Linked DNA regions of Lonchura striata. The protein of the gene in region 4 purifies or fractionates together with the protein of the main gene of each other region. This does not show direct contact. Links are inferred from orthologs where the notes say so. Each region holds a gene or a part of one and is shown on either strand. Other genes may lie near its edges.

Region 1 (7,258 bases), on a different chromosome or scaffold from region 4:
TTGTAGCAATTAACTGTAGTATGTTAGTTTAATTAGTATATATATTACGAGGACTCCAATACAAAGATGATCTTGAAATATAGCCTCCACATCAACAAGTCATAGTGGTCCAAGGCTTTAAATAACCACGTTAAAAAAAATTTCTTACCTCATGCCACTGTCTACTTGGCTTGTTTTGTTTGTGATTGCATCCCACAGAAATATGGTGCTAGATTTGTCTGTGATTATTGCTAAAGTATCTCCATCCTTATCCCAGTCCATAGCAACACAGTTACTGAAGAAAAAAAAAAAAATCACTAAGAATGTTAAAATGTATTTGTAAGTATACAGAGACAGCCAGAACAACGCAACCGAGTCCCTATTTCTTCCTTCTCCCCTGTAAACCAATGACAGATTGCAGATTTATCTGTAAACTAGTTCTATAGCAACCCCACTATTATTCAAATCTCATTGATGACAGGAGCTGAGAGGAAAGTCATAAAAGACACTGCTACCTATGTTCTAATACTTGGAAGACTGTCACCTTGATTTTCAAGAGACACTGAAAGTGCTCTGCAAGGTTCTGGTTTGTTAGAGGCTATTCAGAGTTGGGATTATTATTCTGATAATACACCACTGATTCCACACACCTTTCCTCACTTGGACAGTTTTCTGGAGAGAATGTGCATTTATCATATATTGTGCAAAACACTTCACAGAGAGCTGGGCCATGGATATTACCAAGCAAAAGAGACAGACACAGCCAGACCATATTATGAATGACACCTGACCCAAACACCAAGATGTGATGGTCAGTGAAATACACGGGAGTCTGGTAAAGACATGGAGAACTGCATCTCTTGGTTTGGTGCAAGCGGCAACTACCACAAACTACAAAGACTGGACTTCTAGATTCTTGGGGAACTAAGTGATTTTGGCTGATATTTACCAATGACAGAGTATTGCAAGTGACAATCTGGAAATTTAAGTTATACTCTTGACTAGAGGTTTCAGCCTTAAAAACCATGGGAGTTTTGCCTTGACTAAGGAGTTTATCATAATCTAAATTCATCAGGTAGCTAGAAATAAAAATTTTCCATGATGACCAAGAACAATTAAAGTGATAAGAAGAGATGAGAAGTACACAAATGTAACTACATGAGATATTAATGGTGCCCAATAAAAATGTATTTATTGAGCAAACCAATATGATGACCCAACGTCACACCATTTTTCCTTAGGGAGGTTACCCCTGGTTCATATCCAGGATTTTCCAATGGTCTGACTGCCTTTTAAGAAGTTCAATATATCTTCCAAAGTATGCAAGTTTTTAAATTTAATCTGAAAAAAATCCAGTCTGTAAACTCCCATACCATTCTCTGATGTGAACCAAAGTGTGACAAGCTGGGAAAAAAAACAAAGATTCACTTCAGAAGTATCATCTTCACCTAAAGCAACAATGCCAATGTGTATATTTATGCCACTGATGCAAACAAAGCACTAAAGAAATATCTTTTCTCAGCAAAGCCATGATAAATTGTTAGAAAATCAACAGTAGCAAGAATACAAAGATATAATTTACACAACCTCATTATGATCCTTCTTAATGTGATAAGTCTTTTTTTAACATTTTAATTACATAACTTGTCTTCTCTGCCAGGTATGTTCACCAGGGATAGTATATCATCCTACACATTTCTCACATTGTTTAAGTAAGTTTAAGAATAGAAGCATTTTTAAAGAAAACAACAAAGAAAATAATTTAAACCTATCTTAGTACTTACCCTGGTAGGCTGATTTCATTTCTCTTCTGACCATGACGATCAAAAATTTTCACAGAATGATCAATGCTAAAAAAAATTATATACATATAATGTATATATAAAATGTATATATGATGTATATATATAATGTATTATATGTATATACATAATGTATATATATAGAATACAGAATAATTCCCTTTCTTTATCAGTAATTATGATGAACAAATGCAATGAATAGTTGCAGTCTTACCCTATCACAGCAAGAAAATTTCCTAAAGTTTTCTGCCAAGCAAACTGCACAGGAGAACCAGACCAAGCTTTTTCATACAGACAGAATACTTGCTGGGGAAAAAAAAAAAAAAAAGTAGGAAATTGTACATCTTAAAATCATAAGAATACTACAACTGCCTAGCATGTTAGCAGCTGAGTACTGTAGAGGTAAAAAAACCTCACAAACATTACAAACCTAACTTCTGTGTGATTCCAATGCACTGAAGCATAAAAATCCCACATAAACGTCCACCCCAAATGCCTGTGAGGTTTGCTCAAGTCTGACACAGGTTCTTCCCCCTACTTTTGGGTCAATGTAAACTGAAGCATTCTTCACACTGAATCTGTGTTCTGCACACCAGAACAGCAAAAATACAACCACCACATGCCACAGCCACAAACATCATCTGACAATGACGTTTGATTTTGAAAAATAATTTAAGGAGGAGGGCCACCAAGATGATTTGAGGGTTGAAGCACCTCTCAATGTATGAGGAAAGGCTGAGAGAACTGGGATTACTCAGCCTGGAGAAGCAAAGACTTTGGCATGACCGAACTGTGGGCTTTCAGTACCTGAAGAAAACACACAAGACAGAGGGACTATAATAAGGGCATGCAGCCACAGAACGAGGGAGAATGGCTTCAAACTGAGAGAGTAGGTTTAGATTAGTTACAAAGAGGCATTTGCTGTGACGGTGGAGAGGCACTGGTACAGGATTCCCGCAGAAGTTCTGGACATTTCATCCGTGGAAGCGTACAAGGCCAGGCTGGATGGGGCCCTGAGCAACCTGGTCTAGTGTTAGATGTCCTTGCCCACAGGCGTTGCAGCTAGATGAGCTTTAAGCTCCCTTCTACCCGAAGTTTCTGCATGCGAAGTAAACAAACACGGCAGTGCAGGCAGGCACACCAGCCCCCCCGCCGCTCGCCGCCGGCCCCTCCCGCCGCGCCTCCCTCCCCGGCACGGGCCGCAAGCGCCACGGGCCGCTCGCCCCGGGGCCGGACCCGCGCCCGCCCCCGGCCCGCGGCGCCCGGCCCGCGGCGCCCGTACCCACCTTCATCGCGGCCGCCAGCGCCGCCGCCGCGCATGCGCCGCCCGCCCACGGCGCCGCGGTTACCGCGGAGACGGAGCGGCCCCGGCCCGGGCCGGCCCCGGCGGGAGGAGCTCGGCGGGGGGAGCTCGGCGGGGGGAGCTCGGCGGGGGGAGCCGGCGGGAGGAGCCGGCGGGAGGAGCTCGGCGGGGGGAGCCGGCGGGAGGAGCTCTGCGTGAGGCCGCGGCCCCAGAGCGCGGTGCGCGCAGCTCTCGGAGGAAAAGGAGCGATTTTAGACCGTAGGCAGGCAGAACGGGCTTCTAAGCGAGAGAATAAAGGCACACACCCGCCAGCAAAGCCTCTTGAGATCAGCTGTATTCCAACTGCAAAGCTTCATCACAAAGTGTCACCGATTTCTTTTAAAACAATAAATAGTTCGCCGAGAGCGTTAAAACACACGCTTAAAATTACAAATGTACAAAGGACTTTGGGTATCGGGCACTTCAAAGTTTAAAAAAAAAAACAAACCCAAAACATTCAATGAGTTCACATATTCCCGTTTTTTCACGCGCGGTGCTGTTCGGAGAACTTAAGGGACAAGGCACGTAAAAACAAATACAAAAAGGCTTCTCCCGAGAACATTTAGACCGTTCAAAGCAATTCAGTGTAACAGCAGAGTGCTCGAGAAAGGCAAATTATAAAGTATCTGAAAAAATTAGCTAACTGTTAAATAAGGTAACAAATTTGATACAGCCCTGCGAGGCACACATCACAGTCCTGTAAGATGCTGAACATGCTTAAATGGTGGCAGCTGAGCATCTGGCAGGATTGGGCCCTTTACATTTTTAAATAACCTTACAGGAAAGACAGACAATTTCTTCATCATATAAAATTATACTTCTTATAGTAGTGCAAAGCCTCATTTAAAAATGTAATAAGTCTAGATGTAATGGAATGCTTCAAAAATTCCAAAGTGCAAATATTAAACTTAAATTGATTAATTGTTAATCACACTTCAGAATTTTTCCAATAACACATACAAACAGCAAAGTAAATACAAGAACCAAAGCAGAGAAAAAGGTATGATGTTCTGCATCTTGCATAACAACTCTGAAAATCCAAAAAGTACACTGGATGTCAAAAATATCTGTCAGAAATTACCAAATAGTAGGTTTCTGTTAGCATAAGACTATTTAAAATAAGGCTTTGGTTAAATAAAAAGTTTGCTAAACTAGGAATGATGATAAAAAGTGCAAAAGATTCACCAAATACACAACTTCATTTCCAAGGCAGGCATCACACACCTGCCATTTACAATGGTTTGCATTGGTTTGTTAGCCTGCCTTGTAGTTACTCAGATACCTACTTGCATTTATTACAAGCAAATTAAATCGATGGGGTCCAATCCTATAACTTGTTTCATCCAGAGATAGACCCCATTAAATGAAAGTATATCCATTTATAGCATCATTGCTCTGCATTTAGGAAAATCAAGGCCCTGGAACCATAATATTTGATTATTATAGTGAGTTCACTCATTTTCTTAGCACTTCCTAAACAGAAGTCCTCTATTACCAACTGGCAGGTTGCAGCTGACTTGCTTACAAGTAGAATTCTTGTAACATATGCATAACAAAAGTTTTTAAAAGGTGCTTAATATTGGTCCATAAGAACATCATGTTAGCTTCAGACCAAACACTTTTCCATGGTAAATGTCCTGCACCTGGTGTTTATTGGTGCACTCATAGTTTGCTTGAGGAAAAAGCAATCCTCTGAATCTGCACGGGAGAATTCACCTTCCCAGAGAAAATAATTCAGAGTTTTACAGTCACAACACATGCTCCAGCTCTTCCTAAGCACAGTGGTGCAACCTGTAAACAAACAAGCCATCTGTGAGATAAATACAGTCATCTGTATTTACAACTACAACTATTTCCCCCTAATTTACAACTATTTCCCCCTCATTATATGGCTGCAGCAGAATGACTGTATTACCCATGCTCTGTTAACATGACTTACACATTGGTTCAAAATTGGATACAAACACAAAGAAAAGGTAAAGATATTTTCAGTAACAGAGTGAAGCACTCTGAAAACAATAGCAAGCTCTAAGGACATCAAGAAATTCTTATTGATAATTTCATTTATTCAGTATTACAGAAAAAAAGAAACCTTTGTTTTAGTACAAACTGGATACCTGATCTAGACAGTCAGAAAATTGAGTAAAGGTTGGTAAACTAATGCATTTCTCAGAAACCAAAAATGCCTAAAATTATAGGGGCAACCTCTCCTTTATACTTGATTATTTGATAAAATCCTGTTAAGAGTTCTTGAAATTAGAAAAAAATCACCAGTCTTTATTCTTTAATTGCAAACAATTTACTTCTGGCAAGACCCTTTTCTGCTGAGATTCTGCTGGACTTGGAACAGTGGGCAGTAGTTTCTAACACTCCCCTTTGCTTCCCCTTTTAACCTTCATAGTATTGCAATGTATGTGAGTAGCACACCGAGTGGTACAGAGACTATCCTGAAGACAAAAAAGGCTGTTTATGCCAACTCCCCTATTTCTTTTTTTTCCCAGGAACAATAAACTTTTACAGAGCTGTCTGTGACTCTGACAGCCTTCGCCTGAGAAAATTCCACTGCCTTCTCCTGAGTTGCATTAAGATGAAAAGGTGGCAGACTGCTGAAATAACAAGAGAAGGAAGGTACACAAATATTTCCCAATCCCTCTGGGAAGGGTTTGAAACTATCCTATACACTGGGATTGTGGCATTTGGTGAGATATAGGGGGTCAAAGCTAAGGATATCAAGGTACATACAGATGGTCACCACCTAGACATGATGCAATGGTGAGAAGCACAGTTTCTCTCCTCTGGTGAGAAGCAATTTCTGTCCTCTGATATACTTTTTTTTTCTTTAGCAGGACTAACAATGCCATGGGTTATCATTACCATACCAGTGAATACCCAAGCTCTGATGATCCTCCTTGATGACTTGTGTTTTAAGAGCTTGCAGTAATATGAAATGCAGGGAAATGAACAATTGAGGTTTTTTTGTGTTCCAGGAATTTTTATAAACAGCAGTTTAGTTCTCTTTTTGAATTAAGAATTTGGGGCTGTTACTAGAATGACATATTCAAGTGGCTCAGAATTCAGTTGCCTAAATACTGGTGTCTGATGCTATTACAGATGAGCTTGGGCATTCATCCTGGTCTGCAGCTGGACTCCAGGATGGCCTTGGTGTCCCATAGAGTCTGTGCTGTATCTGCCAACCTTTTGTGGATGTAGATGCTTTAGGGTATTTCAAATGGCATTAGACACCAAAGGACAGTCAGCTCAGGATGTCCTTGTGTGTGCTATTCCCACTGAGCTACACATTCCTAGAGCTATATAAAAGGAACCAAATTCTGAACTGACAGTAATGGTTTCTGAGCATGAACTGTAAAATTATTTTTATTTTAAAACTGCAAAAAGAAAAATGGGTAAAGGCTTTCTGGAACCTACATACACTGTACACAGCATTCACCTCTGGAAGGGACTATTTATGAAAAAATGACCAAAACCTTAACGATATGAATGTTGAGAGACATATTAGAGCTAAAACTAATCTACATTTATCTTCAGAACAGGAAATAATGTAAACAGAATCCTTTGTGACAGTTTGGGGAATGTGGCAATACATTTTATTAAAAGTAGCTGAAATTGTCAAAGAAAATAGCTATACTCTTGCAAAAGGAAGGAGGGCAGTTTATTAACAACAAATTAACAACTCTCTGTTCAAGAGAAGTCATCTCAAGATGGTACACAAAGGAAAAAAAGAGACTCAACAGACGAGAAAGAAACTGCTTTTTAGAGAAGGAATATTTGAATTCTCCTTGCAAAAGTAGGCACATTTGAAATAACAATATTAATAGTAGTGTATGATCTGATTAGAAGCTATACCTGTGTCCATTCATTTGTCTGGGGATCATAAGACTCCACGGTATTAAGATATGTTTGACCATCATATCCTCCAACAGCATACAGCTTGTCACCAAGAAGACACACTCCCACTGCATCTCTGCTAATGCTCATAGAGGCCACAGCAGTCCACATATCTGTTTTGGGATCATACCTAAAAGATAATTTGTGTTATGCTCTAAAACTGTTACCAAAATTCAACAACAACAAAAAAATGTACTGGAATTGATGCTGTCAAGGTAGTAGAAAACAG
Region 2 (7,584 bases), on a different chromosome or scaffold from region 4:
CCGCGGTGAGGTGGCACCGGGCAGGGAGGTTCAGTCCGGCGGGGGCGCCCAGATCGGTGCTTCCCGCTCACCTCCACGAACGGTGCGCTGGCTACGGGGCTGACAGGACCTGTCCGTCACAGGCAGGCTGTGCCCGCCAGCCACTTCCGCCAGTGCGGGCGGGCGGGCGCCGCCTGGCGGCGCGGCGGACGCGGAACGCGCCCGGCGCTCCCCGGCCGCAGCGACACGGGCCCGGCGCGGCTGAGGCCGGCAAGGCGCCGGTACCTCCGGCAGCACCGGGGCACAGCCACGGAGCGCGGTGTGCTCTGCCCGGTCTGCTGCTGGCCCAGGCTCCCCCGCTCAGCCCAGCACCGGCATCAGATCCCGAGCGCTCCGGCCCCACCGGATGGCTGTGCCCAGCCTGGCCACTGGACGGCTGTGCCCAGCGGGACCCCAGCCTGGGAGGCAGCTGTGGGCACAGAGCTGCGCTGCAAGAAGAGACAGGCACTACAAAACAGGGACACGTTTATTAAAAAAAATAGCGGTAACTCCATGACATCACACAAATATTTACACCCAGAACTGTGAGGGTGCCCGAGGGAAGGTGGTGGGGCCAGGTCATCCCCAGCTCAGTTCAGTCGATGCTCAGCCTCTCCCGGTTCTCCCACAGCCACGTGTGGTACACGTTCAACTTGTGGTCCTGTGGCTGTACCTGAGACACAGGGAAAATGTCAGATATTTACTGAAACACCTTAAAGTATCTCATCGCTCCCACATTGTGAGCATTGGTTTTCCAGCGCCAGGGGGTCAGTGGGCACAAGTGAGATGCCGAAGGACCCAAAGGGCACCACCCACCTCCTTCCATTCGTTAACACAGAAGATTCTGTAGGAGTCGTTGCCGTACTTGCCGATGCCGTGCAGCTCGATCGGGTAGCGCCACGCCTTGCTCAGGTACTCACCTGCCAGGCAGGGCACAGTACTCAGCACCTGCACACACAGACCCTGCCCTCACTGCCTGCACATAAGGCAGCTGGCCAGGACCCTGTGCCACTCTCACATGTCTTCATTTTAAATGAAAACCGTAAGTTTTAGGTGTTTCCAGGTGCATGCAGACCACGAATCCCCACGGGTTAATCTTAAACTCCTTTTCAACAAACCACCGTGGGAGTTTTAACCATAACATCTTCCATCAGAACAAAATTCTCCTCTGCAGGTTCTATGTACAGAATCAGAAAAATGCCAGCTGGAAGGGCATTCTGCAGGTCACTGGGGCACCCCTGAGCACAGCCACCTGTAACAGTGCTCACACACAGCAGCAGTACTGCAGGTGCTTGGGAGCTTCTGCTCCAACGAGTTTCTCTCTCCTGCAGAACACCCCATGGCTGGCATCTCCTTCCCAGCTCAGACTGGGACCACCAGCTCTGCCTGTGCGACACCAATGGATCCCAAATGCTGCAGAACAGCCTCCACCACCCAACAGAGGAGAGCCACAGAGCAGCGCTTGCACCAAAGCTGTTTGTCTTTTGCCAGCATAACCAAGATTGTTCCAGATGTCAGGAAAACCCACCTGAGAACCTGATGATGGTTTTGGCTCTGAGTTCGTAGAGGCCAAGAGGCTTGAGCAGCTCTGACATTTCTTTCCAGTCTGCAGCCCTGGCTACCTCAGGAGAAGGATACTTCTTCAGGAACTCCCAGAGCACTGGAATAGCCATTTTCCCTGGTGAAAGAACCCTGTAAGCAGGAGGCTGGGCTGGAGTTCTCCTTCTGCCCTATCCATATGCTTTCTCAAGTGAGCTTTTCCAAGGTAAGGTACCAACTAAGAATTATTATTCCACAGTGACACAAGTTAAAATAAATCAATTCTTTCATTAATACCATTAAAACTGCAGCTGTTTCAGCCCTGTAACACCTCCAAACATTTACACACCTACTCCTGCTTCTCTACTTACCTGAAGTTTTGTTGAGAAATATGGTGGCAATGAGAAGCTTCCATGGATCATGGAAGAGTGTTTCCTGGATAAGATTGAAAGGAGAACGTGGAGGAGTCCATTTTCTGAGGGCCTTTCTTCTGGGTGGGCTGAGGGCTGTACAGGGGCAACACAGGAACATTTATTAGACAGGGAAGGATGGTGTTACCTATTTAATGAAAAAGAACAAAAAGACCTCTGAAGCATTTTTGTGGAGGCATTGTGCATAGATGTAGACACAGCAGTTCCCACACAGCCTTTACAGGGCTGTGGGGGGCTGTGTCCCACTTGGCACAGCTGCAGCCAAGGGGGTCAAGCTGCAAGGAACTTTCCACATCATCACTTGAGCCTGAGCCATCCTATCCCTTCCCCGCAAAAACATGTCTTTCCCTAAATAAAATACCTTCTTTGCTGTATTTACTGGAAAAATATGGACTCGTTTTCCTTCTCTCCACTTGTGTTCGTGGGACAGACTCTTCTGTAAAGAAATAAATTTCAGCATTAAGAAAAAGCACCAAGTATTCTGCTGTCATGTTTCACACACCACTTCCTCTTTATAAAGTGATGGAAACAGAAGGAATTCTTCTCGTGTACAGGACACAAATGTACCTTAAATCTCCTCAGATCTTGCCTGACACTGTACAGCTTAGAGCTTGGCACAGTGAGTTTCAGTTTTGAGTAAGCCTGCATTAGTTTAGATGCTGTTGGATACAAATGAGATCTGGATGTCAGAGCAGCTCGAGCTGAAGCAGAACACGTGGCCTCAAGAGCCAAGGGAGGCTGGGCAGAAGGTGAAGGCTGGCACCACCTCCTGCTCTCACAGCACGCACCTGGTGACGTTGTGGCTGCGGCGGAGCTCGTCCTGTCCCACGGCTCAGCATCCAGCTCGGGCTCAGGTTTCGCATGCTGCTCGCCCAGATCCCCTGGACCTGGCACTTTCCCCGTCTCCAGAGCAGAGGATCCCTCCTCAGGCCTCGCAGCAGGTGTGCCACCGGAGCATGGCCCCTGCTTTGGCAGATGACCCAGCTCCCTGTGTGAGCCAGCCGCCGAGCCCAGCCGTGCCCTGGGCATTGCTGACAGAGCTCTCCCTGCACCCGCAGGGTCAGCACCCAGTGCCCCCACTCCCTGGCTGTCAGTGCCACAGGCATCTGTCTGCCTACGGACCCTCTTGTTCTGAGCACACTTGGTCTCCCATGTGTTAGAGATTCTTCTCTGCCTCTTGCTCTTGGGGTCACCTTGGTTCCTCCTTTCTGAGCCCTTCTCACACTTCCTTGTTTGGACAGTTTTTCCATCTGCCCTCTTTCTTTTGGTTTTCAAACTCTCCTCTGGGTTTATGCCTACCACTGCTAAATCTGTGCCTTCCACAGTAGATATAGCATCTTCCAGGTGTCTATTCCCAGCCTGGATGTTCTGAGTTCCAACCTCAGCACCATTCTGTGCACGGAGCTCCTGCACTTTGCTCTGGCAGTCCTCCTTTTCCAGGTCAGTCCTCGCAGCTCCAGTGCCACATCCCCTCAATCCTGGGCGTGTACTCCCTCGAGGAGCTGCAAAATCAAAATCTGCTGCTTTCAGTGTTGTCTCCCCAGTTTTCTGTAAATACTCCACAAGTGCTCGTTTTGACCTCAGCTTCTTCCCTTCAGGGCTGTGGTAGGAAAGGAAAGCAAATTAGCAATGACTCTCATTTTCCCGCTCTTTGCTTAAAAATCTTCAATAGTACATAAAAACAACCCCAAAACGAAGCACAAAACCAGTTTTGCGGGGACGTCTGGGCAGGTTGCTGTGCTCCTGCCAGGGAAGCCACACAGAGCCGCTGGCAGCCGCAGCCTCACCTGATGAAGTACACGTCGGTCCTGCCGGCCGTCCGGCCCGCCCGCCGGCGGCTGCTCACCCGCTGCCAGCCGCGGGCCCTGCGCCCGGGGCCGGGCCCTTCCGCCGCCGCCGCGCCTCCACCGCCGCCCCCGGGGCTGCGGGGGAAGAAGAGCGCGGTAAGTCCTGCTGCCGGCGGAGCTCCGGGCTCGGCGGGGCGCGGACCGCCACACGAGCCGGGCCCGGGCCGGGCCGCGCGCAGCCGCGGACGGGGCCCGTACTCGGGGCCCGTGATCCCGGTCCAACCGGGCCCAGCCGGGCCCGCCCCGCGCTCACCCGCGCGCCGCTCCCGGCGCCGCCATCTCCCGGCGCCGCCCCGGCCCCGCCCGCGCGAGCGGCCCCCGCGGCGCCGGCAGCGCCCCCTGGCGCCGGCGGGCCGCGGGCGCAGGCGCGTTGCCCGTGGCAGCGGCGGGGCCGCGGAGCGACGCCCGGCGCGGAGCGGGCCCGGCCGTGAGGGGCGGTGCCGGGCCGTGCCGAGCCGTGCCGGGCCGTGCCGGGCCGTGCGGGGTCCGGGGGATGCGGGCCGCGCTCACCTGGCGCGACAGGGCCGAGCAGTGGTGAGCGGCCCCGGGCGCGCCGGCCCGTCCCGCTCCGAGCGGCGGCCCCGGCTGCGGGGGCTCCCAGCGGGGTCGGTGCCTCTACCAGCGCTGGCCCTGTGGCACACCCGATCTGTTTTGTCTCCTGACACGCGGTTCTCGGTTTGTTTGTTTCCCTCAGCATTTACGACCTCGCGTTCAAGCCGGATGGGACCCAGTTGATAATTGCTGCTGGAAACAGGCTGCTGGTAGGGAAACCTTCCTGTCCTCTCTCCTTTTCAGCTGTATAAGCGTGATTTCTTTCACATTAACTTATGAATATAACCTATCTGAAATCCCCTTATCTCTGTCAGTGCAGCCTCTCAGCAACATACATATTAATGCAGGCCAATTCTAAAGTGTTTTGAAGCTTTTAAATATTTCTTACCAAGTTTTAAGCTCTTTTTCCAAAAGTAATGAGATTTACGTTATTTGTGTCATCTCATGTTCTTGCGCTGTGCCCGGGGTTTGAGATCCATGAACCTGCCCTTAGTCCTGGCACAGCGTGCAGGGGCTGTGCTGGTGCAAGTTTCTTTAAAATCTCGGTGACAAGGGAACATGCTCAAACCCGTGTCCTGGCATTGTGGGCGCCGTGTGGGAACATTCACCTCAGGCTGTTTGTGGGTCCTTGGGGCTGCTGCAAGAGCAGCTCAGGACCAGCTGCTCAAAGGCCCTGTGAAGCTGTGAGGTGGGGCAGCTGTAGGAGCTGCAGGAAGGCATGGATGGATGGATGGATGGATGGATGGATGGAGGGAGGGATGGATGGATGGATGGATGGATGGATGGATGGATGGATGGATGGATGGATGGATGGATGGTAAAGGTGGAGTTCAGCATTGCAGGACAACAAGTGTTATTTTCAGGGCTAACAGAATCATGTATTTAGTGGTGTTCCTTTGCAGTAATTATTATGCTTAAACATAAAATGCGTAGAAAGATGTTTTAACAGCAAGATGTAAAATATAAAAATAAAAGATAAAAAGCCAATAAGATGTAAAACAAGCTGCCAAACAAGCTGTTGAAAAATGTCCTTTGTGTGTGTTATTTTCTAGTACTGACTTCTTTCTAAGAATATAATGTTACAGAAAGCTGTTTCTGTGCTAGAAAGTGTTTTGTCTTTTATGAACTATATGAAATCCAAAAAGCAGACACAAAAGGAAGTGCATAATCTGCTGGCCTTCAGTACTTTTGTATCCCAGCCCTCACACTGGCGGTGTTTTAGGCCAGGTTGGATGGGGCTTGGAGCAGCCTGGTTTAGTGGAAGGTCTCACTGCCCCATGGCAAGGGCATGAATTGAGTGAACTTTGAAGTCCCTTCCCACCCAAATGTGTTCCTCTGATTCAATGAAGGGCTTTTTGTGTAAATTCTTTTGTTTGTATTGTTTTTTTCTCCCCATTTGAACAGGTGTATGATACTTCTGATGGAACCCTAATTCAACCTTTGAAGGGACATAAGGACACTGTGTACTGCGTGGCTTATGCCAAAGATGGTAAATGGCACCTTGGGGCGTTGTTAGCCTGTTTTGTAAAGTGCATCTCCTCCGTTTGGGATTGCCCACTGAAAATGAAGAAATGGGCGTTGTTTGGCTCGCAGTGTGGGGTGCTGGGGTTTGTTCTTTAATGAGTGCTGGGGTTTATTGTCCAGTGCAGGGTGTGATCTGCTGTGCAGAGTACAGTGCAAATACCTGTAAGGTCACCTGTGAGCCCAAGAGCTGTGGTCCCACTGCTCTGCTCTTTGACTTAAGTGTTGAGCTTGGCACTGGTGAAGTGTATATTCATGAGAAGGCTCACCTCAGAGATTCCTGTTTCTACTGCTCACCTACATCTGAGTTTTAGTCCTGTAGTTCCTCTGTCCTAGAGGAAGTTCCTGGTAGTTCCTGTAGTTCCTGGTCCCCTGATCTTTCATATGTTACCTGCTCAGTGCACTCTGCTTCCAGTTTTCTGCGACTCTCATTCAGTGGAACTCACTCTGTGGGCAGGAGCCTTCCTGCAGCTGCTGCTGTTTGGGTGATGGGAGTTCCTGTGACCTTGTACCAGTTTCACTTGTCACTGTTCCCATCAATCTCCAGCTTGGGGCTGGGCAGCACTGGAAGGACTGGTGAGTAGCAAGGCCATGGAAATGGTGCAGTACAGCCGCTGGAACTCCATGTGCCTGGGGAAGCACCAGCACTTACAGGCACTCAGTGTCAGCCCCTTATTACTTGAGTCTTGTTGAATTCAAGAACTTCTTGCTCTCTCTTTGATTGAGTATTTGGAGTGAAAGTGATTCTTGTATGTGTGGGATTTAAATTATCTCTAATTCCTAGGCAAGCGTTTTGCATCTGGCTCTGCTGATAAAAGTGTGATAATTTGGACTTCAAAGTTAGAAGGAATTCTGAAGTACACGTAAGTGATGCCGTTCAGTTCTGTGCCTCAGAAGCTGATTTTGATTATGCACTGCTGCGACTAAAGAGCACGAGCTATTAGACTTGGGAGAAGGTTCACTAAGGTCAGAGAAAAGGGGTGATAGGGGAGGGAGGAGGAAAAGAACAGCTGAAGTATCTGAATGAGGCAGGAAAGCAATTAAAGGCATAAAAGGAGGTGGGAAGTCCAGAGAAATCTGTGAATTTAGAGGGCTGACAGAGAACTAAGGAAACTCAGAATAGGTCAGAGTAAAATGAAACATAACATGACCAGTCTTCTATAATAAATCATAATTCTGGTTCACAGATCAAATTAAAGATAGGTTTGGAACTTCTGGTATATTTCAATCATTTGGCTCCAGCCCTCTGAAGCAACAGCTTCATGTTCTCCTGACTGCACATTTATCAAGAGTTAGCTGGTCACTGCACAGAGCCTGCACAGGCACACATGGTTTAGGATTTGGATACAACCTTCAATCATATTTCACAAACAGTTGCTGTAATCTTGATGAAATACAGTGAATCCTGCTACTTGGAGGCAGCTTTTACAAGGTTTATTACTGATTTACTTTACAGTAATAGCAGACTTACTTGACATACTATAAACCAATCCAATTATTTTGGCATCTGCTAAGGCTTTCAGCTCACTTGCTGAAAGTCAGAAAAGGGACATTTAAGAATGATTTATTGAGATCTGATTGTAACTTAATTCTAGGCATAATGACTCTATCCAGTGCATCTCGTACAATCCTCTCACTCATCAGTTGGCATCCTGCTCGTCTGGGGATTTTGGTAT
Region 3 (7,531 bases), on a different chromosome or scaffold from region 4:
AATCCCTTTAGTACAGTCTGCACAGGTAGTAACAGGATACCAGAACTTGCTTTTACCACTGGAAGTTTTGTAAGATGTGAACAAAAATTTAGAGCATTATTGCATTAAATTTAATTATTAATTGTTCACAGATCTGCCAACTCAGGCTTAGAAATGTTGGTTGATATTTTAAATTTTTTTTACATGCTAACACACTAACAGAATAGTCTTGCTTTTAAAAAAATATATTCTTACTTCTGAAGAATAAACCCCTTTTGATAAAAGTTGTTTATCAATAAACACTGCTTATCAAAGCATTGTAGTAGTCAATAAGGACTGAAATCATTGTCTCAGACTACCCCAAAATAGCATGGGAAGAGGAACAGGTGTGTGCAAGTATGGAAAGAGCAAGACTGGGAGTAGCAGTGCTCTTCTAAAAGCTGATTTGAATTACTCATCTGATCTGGATCGTATCATACCATCTGTGTGTGAACAACAGAAACAAGAAATGATCTGGTGCACAGGTACAGAGCTGCAAATGTGCTGCAGCTCAGAAATGTTCTTTAGTCAAAGAGTGAGTAGTTTTATCAGCACCACAGAGCACCACGTGCTGAAAGTAACATTCAGTCTGCTGAAATCTGACCAAACTGTCCTTATGATCATCCTCCTCCTCCCCCCCAACTCTTTTCAAATCCTCTTCTTCCAGTCCCTCAAGCTCCATCTGGGATTTTAAGAGATCCACTGAGATTCTGCTTTAAAACAAAAGACTAGGATAGAAAAAGTTCTGGACAGATAATGTGTTCTTATTCCAAAACTGTTTTGCATGGGAGCAGCTGTTTACAAGTTTCTGTGTCTAAGAATATTTGGTTCTGAGAAGAAAGATGTGTGATTTCCAATGGAAGCTGCAGTCCTTGCAGTGGACTGGACTCTTCCCCCGACAGCTGTTGGCAGATTTACTGCAGGGTTTGCAACCTCTTGTTCCCATCCCTGCAAGCTGTACTGAAGTACTGAACCAACCTGGCTCCACATTTTCACACCGTCATTGCAGCAATACCTACCCCAGCTCCAGTCAAGACCATGATCTTCTTGCACTCCTGCAAAAGTTTCACAGCATCATCAATGGTGTTGATATCTTTCCTCTTCTTCCTTTTTGGTGGCTCTGAAAGGATGTTTATCACGATTTGCCACAGAGTCATGTCATCCAGTTCAGGTGGGGGGATCGTTTCTGGTAGCAGGTCCTTCAGAATCATCCGTGGGTCTGTACCTAACATGAGATGCTGCTGAACAAAAGTGTAGGGACCTAAGAAAATTTAAAAATACAGATATTTAAAACAGAGTTAGGTACTACAAATTATCATGGTTATTGTTCCATTTATTAATCCTTACTAGTACAGTTTCATTAATCCAATTTAATGCTCCATTTATCAAACCCCCTGTATTTTGATCTAAAAGTGAGAGCTGGGCATTTTATTTATATATCATTATTTTATGTTAACCCATGAAGGATTTCATAGAAAGTCGGTCAAGTGAAAATCCCAGTTCACAGCAAAGTTAACCTCTTTTAGAGGTGCAACAGGATTTTCACAATGTGCCTCCATCTGTACTTTCCCAACATTCAGTATTTACAGGAATAAGCTGACAACAAACAAACAACAAACATACATATATTTTCCAGAGATATTATAAACCATCACTCTAACCAGACACATAGAGACCAGAAATCCATGATTTTTGTTGGTTTTTTGGTCATTTAACACAAATTATTTCAGACATTACCTCCTCAAGCCATTAAATCAATCTTTCCAGAAACACTTGAGATGAGGGCTCACTGTCCTAAAATCATACAGGGATCATCTTCTTGTCCCTTAAAGAATTAATACTAAGTAGGCAAGCTATAGAAACATGCCATAAATTAGTCTAATTTAGTGAACCTGTGTGTATGCTTTTCATAGGAATTGTGGCAGGATTTATATTCAAGAAAAAATTAAGACATTGACAATTTTAATCAAAATACAGCAAGTTTCAAGGTTCATTTTTAAACTCCTTAAATAACATACAGAATACAGTCAACACTCTAAGCTGTTCAGAGGCACTAACTGCCAATATTTTTGCAACAGGAAAAATAACTTGAACACTAGGGAGTGATTGTTCAAAGGCAAAGAGCATCCAAGATCATGCTCCAGGCTTTTACCTATACGTGGCCTTGGGGTCCAGTCACTGGAACTTGCATGGGAGGCTCTGTCTTCCTCATCACTGTCACAGGAGTGAAAGCCATTGGCTATGATTTCTTCGCTGAGGAGGAAGTTATCTGCAAGACAGCATGAGCATGGGGTTACACTCCAGCCCAAGGGCACAGTGCATCTTCAAACTGATCACAAAAACAAAAATCACACAGTCAGAAGCTTTGTCACTTAGGCACAGAAAATGTCTATTTCTCTTCACATTTAGAGATGGACTTCCAAGATGTTGGTAGATTTACTGCAGGGTTTGCACCTCAGTGCTGGGCTTCAGGGGGACTGGATGCTGACCTTGGTGAAATCTTGTTCTCTAAAGTGTTGGGCATTATGGGTATTTCACCATAGAAATAATCCAAATGTTTTAAAAGTATAACTGAAAACGTCTTTCCCTTTCCCACTGCATTCAGTTCATTCAAAAACTGGGTAAAATGAAAACATGTCACCAGTGCAGACAGATCTTTGACTAGGTTTTAAGAGCATTTAACAACATTTTGAAAGAAACCCACAAATGCACATTTGCTACAACAAATTCACAGGATTTGGTGAGGATGTTACCTTGCAGCTCGGCTGTATTGCTGACCACATACACAATTTATGATATTTCAGTTGTGACACAGAACATGCTCCCCTGTACCACCTTCACTAAGTTTCTCTCGTCCATTTGGCCCTGCAGCTGGGCCTGGCTCAAAGTGCCAGAGTCACCTCAGCTCAGCCCGTGGCTTTAAGCCAGAGTAACTCAATCTAACTCCATCTCAGACCTCGATGAGTGAGCCCAGGGCAGAACAAGAACAATTTGTGTTACTGAGCTCACGTTGAAGGGGAAATCTAAATTCCAGCCTGAGCAGCTTATTAGAACATAGACTACTCAACAACCTTTTTTACTGGCTTCATTAGAAATAGCCTCAGCACCTGTAGCTTCATTTGCTGAAAATCTATGGACAAAGAACAAATTTCACTCATGCTCTGTAAAGCAAAGAATCACTGACGTAGTTCTCATTCTCGTCTGAAGAACTGAAGAACCCCCTGCACTGTTTTAGCTGTTATTCCGCTCGATTCTCAAATAAAGAACACCACTAAACACCATCATTTTTTATTCAGAGGTTGTGTTGTCCTTCTCCTTGTTAGCATAAATTTTTGATTTGACTTTATTTTTGATTAGAAAATAAAGATCAATGACAGAAATTTGTTGTTGGTCCTTGCTGTCTTGTTCTTCTGAGGCCACAGGTGCTGATGGACATTACTATTTCCTATTAATCTACTTATTTACAGCATTTCAGTTCCATCATGTTATGCATGAAGTCAGTGAACATTGAGAATTTTGGAGAAGGAAAAAGTGCATTAGTACACATCAGTAACCGCGAGGTACAAGTTTAACTTGAGCGACCTTTATGGCTTCTGTATCAAGAAGCAAAATTTACATTGTGAAAGGCTCCTCACAGGCAGGGCATAGGGCCTGGGATTCAGGAAACGCTGACAGATACAAGAAGGATAAAGTAACAGTTCAAACTGTAACACTCCCTGAGTATTCCTCAAAGGACCAGAGGGGATAATGCAGGCCAGAACTAAGCCAGCCACAGCAAAACACCTGAGGCTCGGAGGGACCTGAGCAAAAGGCTTTGTGTAAGGCACTAGTAACAGATCATTGGCTTGGCTGTCAGCTGTTCTAGTGGAGATTTTAAATACTGAGGCTGTTCCAGGTTTACTCTATACCTGTTCCTTTTGTACTGCTTTTGCACAGACATTTGCTACAGAGTTGAAGTACCTCTAACGGCATTCCAAGATAAAATGTAAAGACTATACTGGCAGAATCCAGTGTCTGATAAATTTTAATAAGTCTTTCCAAAGCACTGCTTTAAAAAAAAAAAAAAAAAAAAAAGGCAAGCCAAAATTAACAACTCAAACAAAACAGAACTCAAACCTGATCAGTGTGCACTGTGAGGTACTTTCACAGTGATGCTGATGCTGCCCACCAGTAAATATCTGAAAGAAACTTTTTAGGAAAAGAGAGGATACTGCACCCCGTATCCTCTGAGATCTAGCTTAGTTTTGTGCTGCAGTCACTGAAACCTTAGCCAAGACTGTCACTTGCAGTTCTTTAAAGAACTAGTCAAGACTGCTGCTGCTGAGCCTATGTGCAAGTTTCTAAGGATCAGAAATAAAATAATTAACGCGGCAGAGATTGCGAAAAGGAAACCGGGCTTATATTTGTTCATTTTTAATAACTTGCTGCCAGCAACACAGCAGAATAGATGTTTTCAGGGCTGAGAGCCGAGCCGCTGCCCTGGCCGGCGGGGCCGGGCCGGTGACACGGCGCCCCTGCGACACGCGGGGGCGGCGCTGTGCGGGGAGGAGGGAGCCGCGGAGGAGGGGAGGGAGGGGAGAAGGGAGGGGTCGCTCCTCACCGGGATGCGGGGCCGGCACCGCGGCCGCCCCGTTCGAACACTGCGCCCGCCCGCAGCCCGGGGCCGCCTCCGCCGCGTCTTCGCCGGGCGCCGCCTCCGCGCCCTCCCCCTGATCCCGCCGCGGAGGCGGCTCCGCCCGGGGCAGGCCCCGCAGCCCGGCCCCGCCGTCCGCGCCGCTCCGCGCCGCCGCCGCCTCGCCGCCGTCCTCCCGCTCCGCCCGGCCGCCATCGAACCCCGCGGCCGCCGTCTCCCCCGGCGGCTCCGCGGGCACGGCGGCGAGGGGCGCGGGCGGCGGCCCCGCGGCGCGGTCGGGGCGCGGGGCGGGCGCGGCGCTCCCCGATCCGCGGCGGTGCCGCTTGGCCGCGGGCTCGGCGCCGTCGCTGCCGGGGCCGGCGGGGCCGCGCGGGCGGAGCGGCGCAGCGTCCCCGTCCGCCATCTTGGCGCCGCCGCAGCCGCCGCCCCCCTCGCGCCCGGCCCCCCCCGCCCGCCGCGGGCAGCGCCGCCGCACGTGACCGCGGCACGTGACCGCGCCACAACAAACCGGGGCACGTGACCGGCGGCGCTGCCGGCGTCACGTGGCGCTCGTGCCGCCTCGCGCCCCCTCCCTCGGGCGGCCCCGCCGGCCCCGCCGGCCCCGGGCCCTCCCGTCCTTCCCGGCCCTCCCGTCCTTACCGACCCTCCCGTCCCTTCCCGTCCCTTCCCGAGCCTGCCCCGAGCCTGCTCCCCGCCCTCCTGTCCCTCCTGTCCCTCCCGTCCCTTGCCGCCCCGGCCCTGTGCCGCTCGCCCCCGCCCCTGCCGAGGGAGCGCCCCGGCACCGCGGGGTCCGGCAGGGATGCTGTGGGGCATCGCCCCGTGTCCTCCGGGAAAACACATCAGCCCCACCCGAGATCCTGCATCGCGGTACTTGAGCTCCCGGGATGCAGGGGCTTGTTTGGGGGGGGCAGCACCTGTCTAAATCACTGCTGCTTTAGGAATGGAACCTGCGTGGTGTAGGAGAGGCCTGATGGTAAGCGGCGAGAGTTGGGATTTGTTCGAATAACAAAAACACAAATCCATTGTGTTTCCCGTGCTGCGCGGGAGTGGGCGCGGCTGGTCTCCCTGCTGTCCCGGGGATCTCTCGTTCCCTGGAGTGCAGGAGCAGCCCTTAGAGCCCCACCTGGGCGCTGCAGCCAACAGGACCGTGCCACGCGTGGGCTTCCCATGGCAGAGTTCCCTTCCGCCTTGGAGGTTGGACTGGATAGAACTCAGCCTTCTTCCCAGAACTGCCACCAACACAGAATTTTGGTCTAAACTTCATGGATAGAAATGTAAATGCTGCTTTGTTGTTACTGTTCAACATCACGAGCTATTTGCAGGATAGTATTAGTGGCTTTAATACAATGGAATTCCTAACTTTAGTGGCAAGACCCAGGTTACAGAGGTAGAATTTCTCCCTTGCAGGCCTTGCTAACCAACAGCTTTTAAAAAAACCTTGGGATTAAAAATGTTGATACATGTGGCTTCAAAGGGATTATTTTATGGATAATTAACTTTATAGGTAGTCTTTGTTGGGGGAGAGAGGTTTGGGGATCTTTTCTGGTTCTTTAAGGTATTAAAAACCCTGAAAAATACGTACATACTGGTTTTTCCCACTACCTGCTTCTCAAAACAAGCTGCAGAGTAATCAGATCAGAAAGTTTTTATTATTCTATGCAACTTTGTGTGCAAGCGTTCTTTTTCCTTCTTGCCTCTGGAAGCTGAGGCGAGATCTGTATTTCTTAAAAAACACATGCAAGATGCATTTGTCAGCATATAAAGGGGAGGTGGGGATGTAAGATTGGTTTGGTGGTTATTTTTGTGAAGACAGTTCTAAGGAAGAAATAATCCAAGTGATGCAGAGGTAGTATCTGAGGTTTCTGTGGAGGTACCGGTGAGGGAGTGGCTCAGGGATCCTAAAGCCACCTCTGATCCTGCAGACATTGCTCCACGTCAGCGATGGTGCTGCAGGAGTTACCTTCTTGTGGGAGGTCAGTTTGGCAGTACTTGGGTCCTCTGCTGTTTCTGCAGCTCTGAGCTTCTGTGAGAACAAGGATGGGGCACACCATGCAAAACTCAAATGAATTGTATGGTGCCTTGGACTTCTCATAAATGTGTTCTCTGCCCTCAGGAAGCAAAACCTCTGAAGTCAGTTGAGAAGAACTGGTCCTGGAAGATTTTATGTATTTTACAGGAATAAATTCAAATAGAGATTTCCAGACCTTACTGTTTTATTTCAATGGTTATTTATGACTTTTACAGGTTGTTGGTAAATGTCCTGTTACATTGGAGCAGGATTTAGATTCACTCTAGGCTCTAAACAAACAGAATTGTCAATATGTGTTAGGACTGAGAGACACCTTTTGTTGGTGGTTGGGTACAGAGAACAAATATGAGATTTCCTCACTTCCAGAACAGTTTGTACATCCTGAGCAACACTAACCACGGCATGTGTCTGTGCCATCTCCTGCGCTGCAATTCCCTTTTAAATGAACTTTATGTCCCAGAGCATATCTTTGTAATTTTTTTGTGTAATACACGTGGCTGCTCTTGCACTCCTTTTTGATGATGCCTTGGGAGTTGCCCCTCAGAAGTCAATAGGAGCAGTGAAAGGCTGAGTTCTTGTTCAGTGTATTTTGTGTTCTCCAGACACGAACCTGCACTGGGAGCCTTTGTGCCTCGAGGGGTGAGTGTGGGCACTGCTGCAGTTCGGTCAGAGCCGTGCTGTGTGTGGCAGAGGAGTCCAGGCGGGGCTGAGGCTCCAGGGAGCACATTCCCAGGGAATACCCAGCTGCCAGGTTTGTCACTGCAGTGCAGCCCTTGGACCTGCAGCTGCCCAGCAGCACAGAAATAGCCACTGAAAGCTGGAGGGGAAAAGAGTTAAAGAGCTTCCCTTTC
Region 4 (7,653 bases):
TTATGTCAAGTCATCACATTTTTCCCTCCTACAAATGTTACACTGTGATTAAAAAAAAAAAAAAAAAAGCAGAAGAGAAAAGTAATGGCTCTATAAAAAAAATGAGTCACCAGTAACATAAATTCTAGGTGGTAAGAGATGGGAAAAGAGGTAACTAGAAACTAAAGAGATAATTCAAACAAGGTTTAACTTTAGGATACCTCTTTGGAATTGCTGAGTGAATCTCAAACTGTATTTGGAAATTTTAGTCCCACATTCTCTCTTGCCACTGCTGTCTACATCACAACAAGTGAGGTGACTCCTTCTTTCACATTAACAGCAGCAGCATCAGATTGCAAAAGGTTTTCTTTTCAGCTGAATCTGTACTCCAAGGGGTACATATCAACCACACTTATAAAATATTTACAGGTTTATCTCACTTTGAACAGATTTCTTCATTATAATGTTTAGAGCTGAAAAGGGTGAAGAACACAGAATTTTAAGCCAATTCTCAATCATCTAAGGATAAGATCTGCAGAATTGTAAGTCCTGGAATTTGACAAACATTGCTTGTTAATTTTAAGATCACTGGTGGCTAAATAAAAATACCCAAGGACTAATAGAGACGCTGAGATGCTTTTAAAAGGAATTTTAAACTTATCTGTCTTCTCTGGTTTACAAGTATAGCTAAAATAATTAGCAAAGTATTTTGTCTTTTTTCTCCTCAAAATCCTAATTATGATTTTATACATTTATATAAAATACTCAAAGCCCAGCAGGCACACACATTCCTGACAACTTCAACTACACTCAAGTTACTAAAATGTGGAAAGGGCTTCTGGCCAGACAACAGTCCACTTTTGAAGATTTCAACTTCTCTTAATCCGTAGGCTCTTAATATTTTGAAAATTGAGCTTATTGGCAACAGGCTGTTTTTCTTCATTAACTTTGGGAGACACTGAGCAAAAATCCCAGAGTTCCAGAGTTCACAAACAGAAAGCCACTAACTGATGCATGTCTGGACCCCAAGGAAGCATCCAAATGAGGGCAGGACCGCTGTAATTGATGCCCAGTTTTGTAGTCTCCATAGACTCAGTCAAGATTTTTGCCCCTTGAACATTCTGTTCCTCTTAAATGACATCTGCAAGTCCGAAGCTGAAGCATATTTGGAATGCAGCATGTGGGAAGCTGTAAGCCTTGTACACTGTGTGATTAGTGTACAAAAGTGCAAAGTCCATTGGTCTCAGAGATTCTAAAATACATACTTCCATAAGAAACAAATTTCCTTCACAATATTTTAAAAGCTTACATTAGAATTATTTTTACCTGAATGTTTCTACACTAATAATTTCATGGTAAGTCTCCAAATAGACTTTCCCAAATAAGAGAGAAGGTCTAGCACTCACCAAAACCATGAAACAGCAATATCAAGCTTATCATTTTCTAAAGCATTAAGACAGTTGTGCCATGTCTACCTGAAGCCAAATTTTAAAATGAAGTTGAGCAATTTCAGTTGCAGCCAGTTCCAGTCAAAGGAAGTCTAACACAACACAGTATTTGCAAGTGAGAGCCTGTAGATGGCCTAAATCCAAGATCTCTTCTGTCTATCCATCATCGTGTATCCCACAGCACACTTACAAAACAATATGCATTAATTTTTTACTGGTAATATTCGACTCTGTCCCTCAGAAATAAAAGACTTCCAATATCTTTATGTGTATTTTTCACATTGCTCAATAGTAAAGGCATTTCACCCCTAGGGGGAAAAATGGTCAAAAAAACCTGCAGCCCACCAGTTCTCAGGTACAGCTTTGTTAAGCTTTACCTGTAGGATCTTCATTGCCATGAAGTGCCAGTTATTATCTATCACATTAACCTTTTCTATAAAATCCACTGTTCGGACAACTGACAATTATTTTACCAAATAAGAGTTCTAGTAACCAGATTTGTGACTTCTGGATAATTTTACTATTTTTGTCTCAGAAAAAGAAGAACCTTCCTAAGAATACAGACATTTGTCTTCCTCCAATTTATTACAATGCTGATGAACACTCCAGAAAAACAAACCCCTCTAAAAACAACAAGCCTTACAGATCTATTTTAAAACTATGTACTTTTCTTTAGGTTCATGTATTCTAGTTTTCTTACCTTAACCATGGGGACCGAGAAAGCTAAAGAAATGTTTGTTTCTTTAATAAACTGGGATGGGAGGGAAGCAGCAATCCCATGAATTGCCATTATTTTTAGCCTGTTTCTGGGGGACACCCATAAAAGCACATGAGACAAGTTTCTCAGCAGAAAGAAATTATGCCAGTAGAACTGTTATCAGAAGAGCAGCATTACTTCCTGTAGTGTCAACTCTGTCAAGCTTAAAGGTTTACTGTGCGGGGAAATTTACACATATCTGGACATAATTTCCTTAAAAATTGTTTTCAGAACTGCGAGTCAAACCGAGGCCTTTCAAGTCTGCATAAAGAAGTAAACTGATGTTCCATAGCATATTTGGTGGATCCAAGCAATTACAGGACCATTTCTAACTCTTACTGTTGTTTTTCATTCTCCTTAAATTACCACATGTAACAATGTATGCAATAAAAAAAGTATGGTTTCTCTTCTACACTGTGCTCATTATCGTTTCCCTACCCAAAAATTAGGTTTCTCCCTTTACTTGCTTTACTTCTTCCTATCCAAATAGAGGCACAAAAATAGATTTTCCTGGGTTTTTTTGTAGTCACACCAATTCTGCCAAAACCTGTTTCCTCTGCCTGCCAGTACACTCAAATTTAATTTCGGATAATTTCGATTTTGAGCTACTTAAGTGCCAGAAGCATAAAGTCTTTCCAAAACCGCTTCTCCATAGTTCACAGCTGTTTTTCCTATTACATCAGTTGAGTTCATTTCAGAGTTCATTCCTCCTTTTGTTCTTGCAAAGGCCCACCGAGAGTGACACTAAATACCCAGAGAGGCTCACGAGGAGGAGCAGAGGGGCTGAATAACACCGCGAAAACGCTTCACAGCGGCACCCAGAAACCAGGAGGGGACCGAGACACCATAAAACCGCTTTAATCTACAAGTATTCGGACGATGCACACCAACACATAAAACACACCCGCCCATAAAGCAGCGGCACGGCTGTCGCCCGCCGGCGGGACGCGGATGTTACCGGGGCAGCGCCGATCCGCGTGGCCGCCGCCGCGCGGCTCCGCCCGCCCGGGCCCCGCTGCGGCCGCTCATCCCGGCGCCGGGCGCTGCTGCCACGCGAGGCAGCCCCCGCCCAGCCCCGCTGGGCCCGGGCACGCCGCCGCCGCCGCCGGCCCCGCTCACCTGTGGGCGGCGGGCCCGCCGGGTCCCCCCGCTGCGTCCATCGCGGCCCCGCCGTTGCTATGGGCCCCCGCCCGCCGCTGTCCTTAGCAACGCCGCGCGGCACTGAGGCGCGCCGCCATTGGCCGGGGCCGCGAGCACGCCGCCCGCCGATTGGCCGCGGCGCCGCGCACGCGCGGCGGGGCGCAACGGCCGCCCCCGTCGCCCGCCGCGGGAGCCGCCCCCGCCGGCAGCGGGGAGCGGGGAGCAGCCCCGGCGGGAGCCGCGGGACACAGAGCCCTTGCCACACACTGCCCCAGGAGAGACCGCCCCGCATACCCCCCACCCCCTCCCCCGTCGCCAAGAGCCGCCCCCGCGGCCCGGCTGAAATCGCGTCCCTCTTCAGCGCCCTAAGGGACACCATCTGTTCGGGCGTGTCCTCGCACGCAGCTCCCGCCGGGTCAGCTGTGGGCCTGTCTCCTCGAGAGCTCGAGGTTTGCCTTCACCAGGATGTCCGCAGCGCTCAGCTTGCCTTGCTCCCGCAGGTAGCTCATGACGTGCGGCCGCCGTCTCCAGGTGACCTTTACTCCGTACTCGTGCTCGGGGGTATCCGTGACCAGTACTGCTGCCGCCTCCCCTCTCCCGCACGGATCAACACCAAATGGCAGCTCTTCTTCTGGATGCCAGGCATGACTACTTGGTGATAGAGTGCTGCTGCATCTCCCGTTCCTTGGGGAAGGAGCCTGTACAGCCTCTGCATCTGAGGGACTAAGGACATCTTGCTCCACAGGCTGGGGAACAAGCTCTCCACAGTTCTCTGGGCTCTTCACCTGGATGTTGGCATTTGCCGCTGTCCCTTTCCTAGGCTGGGTGGGAGAGCATTGTGCATTCTTTATCAAGCAATTTGGATCATCCAAGAGAGGGACTGCATGTCCTTCTGGATTCTCAAAAGTTAAAGGAGGAAATCTGCAGGCTACAGCTCCTCGGCAAGCTCCTCCTGCATGAAATGAACTGTGGTTAGCATCCTGATTATAGGGCTTCTGAGGACCACGATGCTTCTTCTGGCGTGCTTTCAACACCACCGCCTTAGTTGTGTCAAATTGTGGGCATACCTGAAGGGAAAGACATAATAATAAGATAAAAACCCAACCCTTTCCTCCAGACAAATAATACCTACCTGATTCTATTCCCCACCTTTTTTCAGTGTGTTCGTTGAGTAATCTGTTCTGCAGCAAAGCAAATGAGTCACTAACAAAGCTGCTATGCATGAGAAACCTCTGAACTTCAGCATCGTGTTCTGCCACTTTTCTCTGGAAAGTCATTAGGGTGGCAAAAGTGAGCTGTTCTCCGGCAGCTCACAAAGAGCTTGAGATCTGGGTTTTAAAGGAAATCTAATGATGTCTACTCCTGTAACCCCTGAGGATTTAAGAAAGTTCAGAATGGATCCTTTTTCTTTCTGACCTAGCATAACTCAAATAGCTTCAAAGAACTAAATCCTCAGCCTCCCCCAAAGAAGTAGAGGCTGAACTGGGAGAGCAACACAAAATGATTGAAGAATGCCCGCTTAGCTCAATCCCCTTAGATTATGTTAATAGGGTGTTCAAAATCTTCCCCCCAAACATCTTTGTTTCAAAACATAGTTAATTTCTGTATTGTGGAGTAACAGATCACCCAAAATCCACTTCTACAATCAGCTTCCTATAGAAGAGATGGTCCAAGCTCAACAGTCTGTATTTCTGTGAATGATTCTGGACTCATTCTCAAACCCTGAAAATCCTTTCATTACAGTGTTTGTCTTCCTGGTTACCAACAAAAGAGTCAGACTCTGTTTCAGATTCCAGTTTGCTTTTCCCAAGAGCACACCAATCTGAGTTCTTGCTATGGTAACTACAGATCTCCTTCAGCATTCCTAGGTTACAATATAGTTCCTCAAAACACTGAGTGCAATTTAACTAAGGATGGTGATTGTCTAATGTACAGCTGAACTGTTTGACTCCAAAGCCATTTTGCAGGAAAAGAGAAATGATTCTTTAATAATTGTATACTAGCACATACTTAACATAATCCCTGATTTTAAGGATATGGCTTCCGGCTTCAGAGAACATGTAGGGTAGGTTTTACCTATGCAGGAACCTAGTAGTGAAAAAGGTATGAAAAACTTAGATAATGCCAAAAAGAGAGGAGCAGAAAATCAGTTTCCATTGAAACAAGTTGACAGACATTCCGCAGAGGATGCCTCCAGAAGTTACAAACCTATCACAGTTACCAAACTGAGAAATATTTAACAGTTTCAGTACTGATAGCTTCAAACAAATTTTAGAATATTTTAGGAATCAAAGAGCTACCAGAGTGGATGCTTCCACCTCTTCCAAACAAAATGAATGCTTATTCACAGCAGTTATTTCACTTAGTGATTCACAAACTGTAGAGCTAACTGCCTCAAGCAGATACAAAAAAAATTTAAAGAGGAAAAAATTGAAGATGTTCTACTTCAAGGTTAAGGCATTACAAAAATACCTGCAGGTCAACAGGAACAAAGGAATGTTTCATACAGTTTTGAAACCACTCTTCCTGAGTTTGCTTTGTGAAGAGCAGTCAAGCAGCAATAATGTTTAAACAGAGCTCCCCTAGGTGATGACTACTGTTGTATAGGAACAGTCTGTCTTTGCTGCAGCTGTTTGCTTAAAAAAACTAAAGCTTTATATTACATGATATAAAGAGTATTCTAGGACATGGCAAACAGTCCCAAGAAAATGAACCTATCAGAAGATTGGTATGGAGAGACACTACTCAAAAAACATAAATGGAAAAGAGAGCAGGTTAGAACAAATGATTCTGAAGTAAAAACCTATGTTCTCTAAATTTAGCAGTTTCAGATTTAAACAATACACTCAATACTTTAACATCGAACATTTAGAGTTCAGCAGTTATTTTAAACAGCAAGCCAATAAGAAAGGACTCCCCTAATGATTATTTTGTGCAGGGGTTTTGGTTGCTAAGGAAAACAGTGTTTTCCTGATGCGAATAATTTTTCTAGAAGACAAATATTCATTAATCAGTACACACTGCAGACAGTTTATGTCTTCAAGTAACCAAGACCTTAGTGCTTATTCTTAGAATGTCAAGCAACTCAAGCACTTATTTATGCTTTAGACTGATAGAAGGAATTCAGGTCTGGGCTACTAACTTTCCATATCCAGAACAGATAACTTTCTTTTAAGACAGGAGAAACAGGAGAAACTTGAAAACTGTTGGTGTGGGACGCAGGAGGAAAGATAATTTGTACCAACCCAGGCAGCAGAGGTGTTCAGGTCTACAGGTTTTGTAGGCACACGTCTGGGATTCTCAGCCAAATGCAGTGGAGCTTCATAACAATGGATGGGTCCTGCCCGTGGTTTCTCAAGGAAAATCAGCTCTGCCTTCCTGGCCTTGTGGGTACACTTCTTCTTTGGAGGCATCAAAAGGTGTGGTAAAACTACTTAGAAACCTCATGATGCTTGTTGGAGCCAATTGAAGAAAGATGGAAGCACCCTGAGGAGATGCGAAAGTGCTCTCAAATCTGTAGAAGCAAATAAATGGATTTGAAGACAGACTCATTTGGAAACCTCAGATGCAGTTTTTAACAAAAGCAAAACATTTATGCAACAGCACAGTGTATACATCTTGAGGCAGACTTTTTCCCAATAGTGGTTCTTGGGCCTTTTGTTAATTTTCAGGTAGATTTAGAAATGCACTGCAGGAAGGGAAGCTGTTGACCTACTGATACAGCTATGAAAAGAACAAGTCAGCTATGAAAAGAACAAAAAAGCCAAAAAATTTATTTTCTTTTTTTCAATTCAGTCTTGTTTGTAATGCCAAGAAGATATTGTAAGGCTAAGATAATCAGAACTCTTTCCCTTTCTGGTTGCTAACTACCTGTGTGTTTTTAATTTCAAGGGATTTTAAGTTTGTTTTTTTCTTTTTTACAAAACAGAGTTGACATCTCCCGTATTCTACAGATCTTGCATGATTTGTTTTGCCTAATGAATAAGTTTGAACTGAAGTAACATTGTATTTAATTTTCTATTGGAAAACACAGACTCAATTAGGTTGGAAGACCTCTGAAATCATCAAATTCAACCTATAGCCAAACACCACCATGGCTACTAAACCATGGCCCAAGTGCTACATCTTCAGGGACAGGGACTCTACTTCCCTAGCCCATTCGCCTGTCTTCACCTTTCCTGTGAAGAACTTCTTCCTAATGCCCAACTTAAACCTCCCCTGGTGCAGCTTCGGATGATGTCCCCTTGTTCCATCACTAGGTGCTTGAGAGGTGCTTGAGAGAACATGTAGGGTAGGTTTTACCTATGCAGGAACCTAGTAGTGAAAAAG

The links.
Region 1: the proteins of TULP3 (region 4) and WDR19 purify together in Homo sapiens (affinity purification with mass spectrometry; 5 studies listed by BioGRID and IntAct, counting the BioPlex papers as one, with this or other methods). This does not show direct contact. The link is inferred for Lonchura striata from reciprocal best matches to the Homo sapiens genes TULP3 and WDR19.
Region 2: the proteins of TULP3 (region 4) and IFT122 purify together in Homo sapiens (co-immunoprecipitation; 6 studies listed by BioGRID and IntAct, counting the BioPlex papers as one, with this or other methods). This does not show direct contact. The link is inferred for Lonchura striata from reciprocal best matches to the Homo sapiens genes TULP3 and IFT122.
Region 3: the proteins of TULP3 (region 4) and SIRT1 purify together in Homo sapiens (affinity purification with mass spectrometry; 5 studies listed by BioGRID and IntAct, counting the BioPlex papers as one, with this or other methods). This does not show direct contact. The link is inferred for Lonchura striata from reciprocal best matches to the Homo sapiens genes TULP3 and SIRT1.

The regions. Positions count from the first base shown.
Region 1 is NC_134606.1:22,777,105-22,784,362, reverse strand, and holds the start of WDR19 (WD repeat-containing protein 19), read right to left. Parts: upstream 3,151-7,258; 5' UTR 3,074-3,150; coding exon 3,068-3,073; intron 2,088-3,067; coding exon 1,996-2,087; intron 1,830-1,995; coding exon 1,764-1,829; intron 1,758-1,763; exon of another isoform or gene 1,384-1,757; coding exon of another isoform or gene 1,353-1,383; exon of another isoform or gene 1,241-1,352; coding exon of another isoform or gene 1,230-1,240; intron 275-1,229; coding exon 149-274; intron 1-148. Other genes in the region: KLHL5 (kelch-like protein 5), read right to left, coding at 4,858-4,914, 6,988-7,159. UniProt on the Homo sapiens protein: As component of the IFT complex A (IFT-A), a complex required for retrograde ciliary transport and entry into cilia of G protein-coupled receptors (GPCRs), it is involved in cilia function and/or assembly.
Region 2 is NC_134614.1:23,873,729-23,881,312, forward strand, and holds the start of IFT122 (intraflagellar transport protein 122 homolog), read left to right. Parts: upstream 1-4,260; 5' UTR 4,261-4,328; coding exon 4,329-4,369; intron 4,370-4,529; coding exon 4,530-4,596; intron 4,597-5,791; coding exon 5,792-5,876; intron 5,877-6,692; coding exon 6,693-6,771; intron 6,772-7,503; coding exon 7,504-7,580; intron 7,581-7,584. Other genes in the region: MBD4 (methyl-CpG-binding domain protein 4), read right to left, coding at 614-691, 835-938, 1,547-1,696, 1,929-2,063, 2,350-2,424, 2,777-3,588, 3,776-3,910, 4,089-4,114. UniProt on the Homo sapiens protein: As a component of the IFT complex A (IFT-A), a complex required for retrograde ciliary transport and entry into cilia of G protein-coupled receptors (GPCRs), it is required in ciliogenesis and ciliary protein trafficking.
Region 3 is NC_134609.1:35,338,426-35,345,956, forward strand, and holds the start of SIRT1 (NAD-dependent protein deacetylase sirtuin-1), read right to left. Parts: upstream 3,117-7,531; 5' UTR 2,171-3,116; intron 1,280-2,170; 5' UTR 1,251-1,279; coding exon 1,038-1,250; intron 1-1,037. UniProt on the Homo sapiens protein: NAD-dependent protein deacetylase that links transcriptional regulation directly to intracellular energetics and participates in the coordination of several separated cellular functions such as cell cycle, response to DNA damage, metabolism, apoptosis and autophagy.
Region 4 is NC_134604.1:31,057,842-31,065,494, forward strand, and holds the start of TULP3 (tubby-related protein 3), read right to left. Parts: upstream 3,378-7,653; 5' UTR 3,345-3,377; coding exon 3,304-3,344; intron 1-3,303. Other genes in the region: RHNO1 (RAD9, HUS1, RAD1-interacting nuclear orphan protein 1), read right to left, coding at 3,741-4,391, 6,570-6,737. UniProt on the Homo sapiens protein: Negative regulator of the Shh signaling transduction pathway: recruited to primary cilia via association with the IFT complex A (IFT-A) and is required for recruitment of G protein-coupled receptor GPR161 to cilia, a promoter of PKA-dependent basal repression machinery in Shh signaling.